Linked DNA regions of Bombyx mori. The protein of the gene in region 1 purifies or fractionates together with the protein of each later gene. This does not show direct contact. Links are inferred from orthologs where the notes say so. Each region holds a gene or a part of one and is shown in the gene's direction. Other genes may lie near its edges. The genes, in order: ubiquitin thioesterase trabid and sarcolemmal membrane-associated protein.

The links.
Region 2: the proteins of ubiquitin thioesterase trabid (region 1) and sarcolemmal membrane-associated protein purify together in Homo sapiens (affinity purification with mass spectrometry; 3 studies listed by BioGRID and IntAct, with this or other methods). This does not show direct contact. The link is inferred for Bombyx mori from reciprocal best matches to the Homo sapiens genes ZRANB1 and SLMAP.

Annotation. Positions count from the first base shown.
Region 1 is NC_085132.1:7,267,286-7,271,888, reverse strand, and holds the start of ubiquitin thioesterase trabid, read left to right. Parts: upstream 1-1,765; 5' UTR 1,766-2,028; intron 2,029-2,037; exon of another isoform or gene 2,038-2,121; 5' UTR 2,122-2,177; intron 2,178-2,257; 5' UTR 2,258-2,375; coding exon 2,376-2,507; intron 2,508-4,603. UniProt on the Homo sapiens protein: Ubiquitin thioesterase, which specifically hydrolyzes 'Lys-29'-linked and 'Lys-33'-linked diubiquitin. Also cleaves 'Lys-63'-linked chains, but with 40-fold less efficiency compared to 'Lys-29'-linked ones.
Region 2 is NC_085114.1:11,199,111-11,202,941, reverse strand, and holds part of sarcolemmal membrane-associated protein, read left to right. Parts: intron 1-793; coding exon 794-887; intron 888-1,387; coding exon 1,388-1,498; intron 1,499-3,174; coding exon 3,175-3,278; intron 3,279-3,831. UniProt on the Homo sapiens protein: Associates with the striatin-interacting phosphatase and kinase (STRIPAK) core complex, forming the extended (SIKE1:SLMAP)STRIPAK complex.

The DNA of each region.
Region 1 (4,603 bases):
TTAATCTAATAACTTTTTTTTGCGAAAAAGTCCAACCACCAACCAACTCTAAAATTATTTGGCGCTTCCTTTAAAAATTAACCCTGATGCTAATGTGGCACACCCCTAATTTAATACATTTCGACCACTGAAGTACTATATAAGTCTATGATTTCGACGGACACTTTTCTTATATGTAAGGTACATATCTACACAGTTGATTCTCCTTACCTCTATCCTCCATAAATAAAGCTCATTGCAAAAGTAAAGTCCTATAGACAATTGCACATTTCTTGCGCTTGTTTAGACCTTGATCTTAAGCTAACTAATATACTAATCTGTGATCTTGAGCACGCTACATTTTTTTTTATTGCTTAGATGGGTGGACGAGCTCACAACCCACCTGGTGTTAAGTGGTTACTGGAGCCCATAGACATCTACGACGTAAATGCGCCACCCACCTTGAGATATCAGTTCTAAGGTCTCAATATAGTTACAACGGCAGCTCGCCCTTCAAACCGAAACGCATTACTGTTTCACGGCAGAAATAGGCAGGGTGGTGCTACCTGGCTTACTGAATTTGGCCCTCTTTTTTTTATTTTCGCATTTTTTTTTAATTATTTGTTCGTCGTTTGCTCGTTAATGTTCGAATGTAAAAATTGTTTGTTCTTCTTTTATTTATTTATAATTAATTAAACAAATGATCACCCTTAAGTTGCCCCTCTTACTAGATATTTTTATTTTTATCGCTCAGATTAATTAATTTTGATCAATTTAGTAGCGTTTTGTTAACAAGTGCGTTTATACTGTCTAATTATTTCTTAGGTAGATCAAAAAAATATTGAAAACTTCAGCAAACCTCGACAATACTTGAACAAAAAAAGTCAGAGAAGACGGCCAATTAATCTTTAAAGTACGATTAGCGCGGTTTTAATAAATTCAGTTATTTTTAATGATATTAACAAGCATTTATAGAAAATATCTTTCTAACATATTTTTTTACCATTTGCACCATCTTATCATTCCTCGATTATTCTAACACCGGTCACTCACATGCGCACGAATACGCAAACCCACAAGTGTAGGACGACATTTGCGAATGATTATGCAAAGTTTTCGCTGCATTCGTGGTTTTCCAAGCTGTGTCGGTTTTTTAACAGACATCAAAGCGCGCGAACCTCGAACCTTCGCGTAGTCTCCCACACATTCGCTTGCCCAGTTGCGCCGACGATTGCGAAGGTAACGGACGTATACTATACGCCATTTTCATAGTTCGTGACGTCTACTGTGTAGCGTATCTTCATCAAAAGAAATCCCATAAAAACAGCATGGCTGTTAATGATGTCTGGGAAAGAATTAAAAACTCTTTTCCTCTTCAATGTTCTATTGACGAATTAAAAAGGAGGAGAAATTCGTGAGACATTCGTAAACAAGTGTAGGAGGAAGCGCAAACGGGTTCGCAAATTGAGTATGCGAACCCATTTGCAAAGCCGCTAGATTTGCGAATGAATGTTTGACGGCCCTTCACATGCGCACAAACATTCGTACAATGTACGAATATTTGCGCGCATGTCAGTGGCCGGCATTACACTCTGAATTTATAGTGAAACTTTTTCTATTCCATCCTCCATAGTGCAGGGAACGGTAGCTCCGAACATTATGAAGTCTGTGACATTATGGAATCTGTGACATTAAATTGGTGGTCTCGTTTTTTCATTGGCTTAACCATTTCAACAAAACATTTAGGATGCCATGTTATTGGTCAAAATAAAACTATACCTTTATACTATTTTACTATTGGCACATTATAATCGGCATCTTTTGATAAATATTTCGCCAATTAAATGATAACATTTTAGTGGCACAGAACATTTTTTTGACAATTATCGAATGACAACATTTGACATGACCAAAATTTGTCAAAATACCGTGCAACTTGACTGTAATTCCATTAACAAATTTGTTTTTCCTGTCTTCCCCGTATTTGTTTCGTCCCAAGTTAACTAAACAAACTGTGGAGTAGTCCGATCGATCTGATCGTTTCTTACCGTGAGTGCGTTGATATGCTTGGATAGACTTGACCTTATGGCATCTCTCACGATGTTTTGTGTTGTGTAACGACGCCAAAATCTTGCATTGCAGCTTGCCAAGAGTCCTATCTTCAACCTTGCGCACTATATAAAACAGAAACGTTAGATGTATGGGCATCCCTATTTGTCAACTGATTGAATTCCTAAGGTGAAATTTTCTCACAGTGAAGACGTTTCGCCTGTTTCAGGTCACACAAGGCGACGCAGCAAAGAGCACCTGTTCAAATATTGAAGTATTTTATATGATGAAAGCTTTATAGTCCATGTAGGAACGACTCTTGCTCTAAATGTTCTAATTGGTGTACAATGAGTGAAGAGGCGAAGAATGATGCGTCAAGAAAGAGTGCATCACAGTCTGTGGGGATTGATTGTGCTTCAGGCCCAGGGGCTGAGGCGATCACACAGGATGCCGCCACTACCATTTCCCAAATTGGACAGGTAAGAAAATTATCCAATTTTTTGATTAGTTTATTTAAGCTTAATTCCACTAAAATCAAATACATTATAATCATAATTAGAAAATGGAAAGAATTTAATGTGGTAGTGCAAAGTAGTCGAATTGCAGCAAATGTGTGAGCGATGCCATTTGTTTATTTCAGTTGTCTATTATCAAAGGTGGCAATCTGTGCATTTGGACAAAAAAATGTTATTGATATGTCAATACAGATTGATTTGAATATAATCGTCTCCTTCAAAGAATACGGTTCAAAACCTGCATTAAATAAAGGTTAATACTTAACCTGCTATTTATCTAAGATGTCATTCAGAAGAGCTTTGTGACTGCCAATGGAATACAAAGTCAATAATTCGTTTTTCTGATTTACCAATAATTGTCCAAAAGTCACATTGCCGGCTTCGATAATAGTCGACTCATTTATGTTATTTAAAGAAGTGCTATGTGAGTATTACACTAAACCACTAGATCCTGGAGGCATTTGAATTCTGGCTAAGTTGTATTGCTTGAAATGAGTACACTGTGTATTTATATCCTTTAGGCCACAACAATTTCAGTTTAGTTTTACAATTGGAATTAAACATAAATTTACAGATTATCAGCAATAATAAATAGGTCTTAAACTTAAAAATTAAAACATAAAATACTTTTTGCTAATTATTGAAATTTCTGTTGTAGCAATGTAAAATTCATCAATACAATAACGGTCACAGAATCTGTACTTCCATACTAATATTTTAATGTGATAATTGTAATTAGAAATGCTTTAACAAAACTGACTTCAAATAAAAAAAGATATTTCAAAACAAATTCATATACGCTAAAAACAATAATCATGGAAATCAGTTGGTGTGATATTGAGTTATTCATCTATTTGTCGCGCACATACCTAATGCAAAATTAAGATTTATATGGTTTTCTCATGGATACCACTATCACTAGACTAAATTAAAATGGGACCACATGGGAAGCATCAGCTTTGTAATTAAAAAGAATCATCAAAATCGATTCACCCAGTAAAAAGTTATGAGCTTACAAACAAAAAAAATCATACAGTGGAATTGAGAACCTCCTCCTTTTTGCGCAGTCGGTTAAATGATTTTTTCCATCTTTCATGTCAAAACGAAGCAACAGATTGACAAGATGTTTCTTAAAGTTTTAGGTCAGGACATAGGCCAACTTACTCTACTTTTATACTTTGCATTTTGTACTGAAAAAATATCATCTTGATGGGAAACTATATTCTTATCTTTTGCAAAATTACCTGATGCTTTCTAAAAATTAATTCATGCTTTAATTGATCACACGACCGAAGTCATGGGTAACATCTAATATAGAATAAATAAAAGTTTTGATTTCTAATTCTTAATGACAAAAATGAATTAGAATTATTTAGAGCCATGAAATAATTTCATACATTTTATCATTGGTTTCTAGTATTAATAAGTCACCTGGAATAAATATGTAAAAACATCACTAGTTAGTAAAGCGGGAGATGGATTCCTTTGAACAAGTTTTTTTTTTCTAAACAGTAATGCATTGTAGTTTGAAATCGTTGAACAGTTGTTCCAAATAGAATAGGTCTGATTACATTTAGCATTGGCGCTGATGTCTCTGAGCTCCAGAGCCAGTACCAAACAAAAAATAGTATATGACAGTATTTACTATTACATAATGTTGTTATCATATGGAGGCTCACTAGTATTATAATATTTTTTGCATAAAGGCAACAAACAGCCAAAATACAATTTTCCATTGATATTCACACTTAAAATTCTTTACAGTTTGAGACATTCACTAAAGTAGTTACTTATTCTTGGCTATTTGCTCACATACAGATTGTAAATGTAATCAGTGTGAAGTATTTTGAAAACTTATGAATGGTGAAAACCAATTAATCAAACTATTGGAAAAAACCAAATATTGGGAACTCTTTGCCCTGCATCCTCCTTAGATGAGCTGTTCTCAACCTTTCTTACTTAAATTAACATACGCTTTACAAATTTGCAACACCCTTACTTGAACTGAAAATTTTAATACGAAGTGAAAGTAAGTATAGGAGATTTTTTTAAGATATATT
Region 2 (3,831 bases), on another chromosome or scaffold:
TACATAGTTCATTACCTTTTTTCCTACCTATGCTGATAGCCTTGAGAGGCTATTTCAGCTTCGCCCTAACGTGTAGGTGAGCTCACGGGGCTCAAACCGGGAGTGGCCCGGTTTGACTAACACTGGCCCTAGCAAGAACAGTGCTTCGCAGAATCTACTACCGGATCGGAAACGCGATCCACTGAGAAGATCCGGCGAGAAGCTTAGTGGGCTGTGTGTATGGGTTAATTCGCTCGTCGAGGCCTTTACCGTCAGCGACGGGTTCGACGAGGGCGGTGACCGGAGTTCATTACAAAATATACACAAAAACTGAAAAAATTAGCTTGACCCGATTTACCTTGGCTTTGGGGTGCATCAGGTTACGTATGGAGACAATAGAGTTTTGCGATAGGGCTGGCACTATTTAGTTGTTAGGTAGGTACTTAACTTTAGGTAATTCACTTTTTAATATCTTTAATGAGTTACAAAACTTTGATGACAAATGTTTTCAGTTCAACAAATAAAATCTAACAACTCAACAAACTTCTTACTGGTGGTAGGACCTCTTGTGAGTCCGCACGGGTAGGTACCATCACCCCGCCTATTTCTGCCGTGAAGCAGTAATGCGTTTCGGTTAGAAGGGTGTTGCAGCCGTTGTAATTATACTGAGACCTTAGAACTTATATTTCAAGGTGGGTGGCGGCATTTACGTTGTAGATGTCTACTGGCTCCGGTAACCACTTAACTCCAGGTGGGCCGTACGCTCATCCACACATCTAAGCAATAAAAATAATAAAAACCTCTGTGATTACAGGTCGGTATAAAAATAGTCTCGGCCGACGGCAAGTCCGCTAAAGAATTCGAATTGATACTCAAGAAGAACAATGCCTATAACTCTGAAAATAAAGGTAAGCAGATCACTGTAATTTATATTAAAAAATATTTGATTTATTGTGTTCTGTCATCATTTTGAGTCACGAGAGAATTGTATATGCTATATCGTCTTCTCGCATTAAAACTGTATAATCTCATAACTTACTAATTTTACAGGAGAGTGTTTTGAAGGTGTAACATGTGATATTTTTAATACTAATCATCTTTGCAACATTTATTTTTTATTTTTTACCAGATACATTATTTGTCTTTTAAAGTAAGATAAATTATGAATTAATTTTGTTAATAGTAGTCAAAATATAGGAAAACTAAAAAAAAAAAACTAAAACTAAACTACGCTCTTTTGACATTATTTATGAGAAAAATACTGGTGATACCAAATGATTCCGCATATTAACTCAATTAATGCGAATTAACTTTTAATGCGAAAAGACGATACGTGTAATAATAAAACTAATGATTATATAAAATCGCTCGACTCTGGGATTTACAAATCAAATAAGCATGTTTGTAGATACAGAAAAACTAGAAGCCGAAGAGGACGGCGTCGGTGGTAGCTGCGAAGAGAAATCCAACGAGCCTGACTCCTGTACTGACGACGAGAAACAATCCCGATTGAATCACGGTGAGATTTGCTTCAATTCTAAATTCAAATGTTTGAGAAAAAAAACTAATTCAGTTATTTCCGTTTATCTATTTAATAATACGTGAAGCAAAAACTTTGTATGATTTGTATTTGATAGAGGAGTATGAAATTTTCCACACTTATAGATTATGCAGAGAGGGAGTACAGATTTTTTTTTTTTTTTCTTAGACGTGGTGGTCTTCAGAGTGGACGAGCTCACAGCCCACCTGGTGATAAGTGGTTACTGGAGCCCATAGACATCTACAAAGTAAATGCGCCACCCACCTTGAGATATAAGTTCTAAGGTCTCAGTATAGTTACAACGGCTGTCCTACCCTTCAAACCAAAACGCATTACTGCTTCATGTTAATTATTTTTTATTCTATCTATATAATATAGAAATGAATTGCTGTTCGTTAGTCTCGCTAAAACTCAAGAACGGCTAGACCGATTTGGCTAATTTTGGTCTTGCAATATTTGTGGAAGTCTAGAGAAGGTTTAAAAGGTAAATAAATATGAAAATGCTCGGAATTAAATAAAATTAACAGTTTTGTTTTCCTTTTGATGTCCCCCGTCGGACGGATTCCTTATGTTGAAGTTTATTTTATACTAAAGCTTAGGTCTTTTATTTATCGATTGGGGCACTGTCACGAAGTCTGCCGGGTCAACTAGTTATGCCTAAAAAAGACATTAATTCAATAAAAGAAACATGACACACAACTATAGTACCATATATTTAACACACACAACTATAGTACCATATATTTAACACACACAAACACACGAAACATATACTCTTCGTTTATTGTCAATCTTTTGTTACTGTTTAGTCTGTGGTCAAATTGACCATAGATTAATAGTGTTTATCTTTAATATTATCTGTCTATAATGTAGTCATGGCGAAATTTGTGATTATAGAAAGTAAGATAATAGTCTTTAATTCCATAATAATGTTGAAACTTATAATTACAATTAAATATAGTCGAATTTCGACTACTGGGGGACCACTAGTTATATGTTTAAATTGGCTGTGCGGTCGCCTATCATAGCATCATCTCATCTTTTCTCGGGGTCTCAGTAAAGGCGATTAAAGCTATTTCCGGGAGAATGGATAGCAGCGTTCCCTTAGTATATACTAACTAAAGTGATCGCCGACCGACATTCACTGATAGGATGTGCTGTAAACTCGCACGGGCTTCGAAATGACATTCACTGATGTCCATGGCCTCTGGGATCCGTTTACCACCGGGTGACCCGTCAGCTGTTTGACTCTTAAACATGTAAACAAATTAAAATAATCATAAACACTAATTATGAATACATAAGTACCTTTATCAACATTCAATTGTTTCTGGTTGAGTACCTAACGATCTTTAGTAAAAATTAAAAACAAAACATCCTTATGTATACATTATTTTTATTATTTTTCAATATAGTTCATATAAACACTCAGCGAATATAAAACCAAATCTACACAAGTTGTATTGTCATGTATATCATAATATTACTCACTAAAATTCCCAATTGTTTCCTGGCAGCAGAGATTTGTTTTAAATTTATTAGTAATCCTTTCTTTTTTATGAGCTAACGTTGTTTTCAATAGCCCACAGTTGTCCATCGCTTGATATAGACATGTATATGTATATAGTTATAAATGTAGTTTTTTTTTCTTTCAGAACCCGGACACGAGGAGAGGTCTAGTCCGCTGGATGGTGAGCTGTGCCCAGACAACAACGCTAATTCCACATACACTGAAACTAGTAACCGAGAGGATTCGCCCGTGAGTAACTTTATTGAATATTTGCTAAAAATTTTTTAAATTGCCCTTGTAGGCAGATGAGCACTCACCCAATGGTGCGTGGTTACCGTCGCCTACGGACGTCAGCAATGCTTCTCCAAGTAATAATATTTTTTAATCCAATTAATAACAAAATATTCTTTAGTTTGATAATTATAGCTTTTTTTGGTAGATTAAAATTGGTTGTGAAAAAGTTATGAAAAAAAAATTACATTACTACAATACAGGGTAACCAAAAATCGTACATTTTTCCAATGATACTTTTATATGCATGCAAGGTTATAGTGAAAATTTCGTTAGCGCGATTCAGTAATTTTTAGGATTTATTATAGCTGACGCTACATAAAACATACATTACGTAAAAAATGCAATGTTTATTTGAAAAGCTGAGCAAAACACCTACCGTTTTAAAAGTTCGTATTTAATGACCCGCATTGTAAAGCGAAGTGGCTAGGTGACGTCACCCAAGATTATTGACCCCGCCCGTCAGCTGCTGGATATGTTATCAGTAATATCACCTTTATAATGCTATATA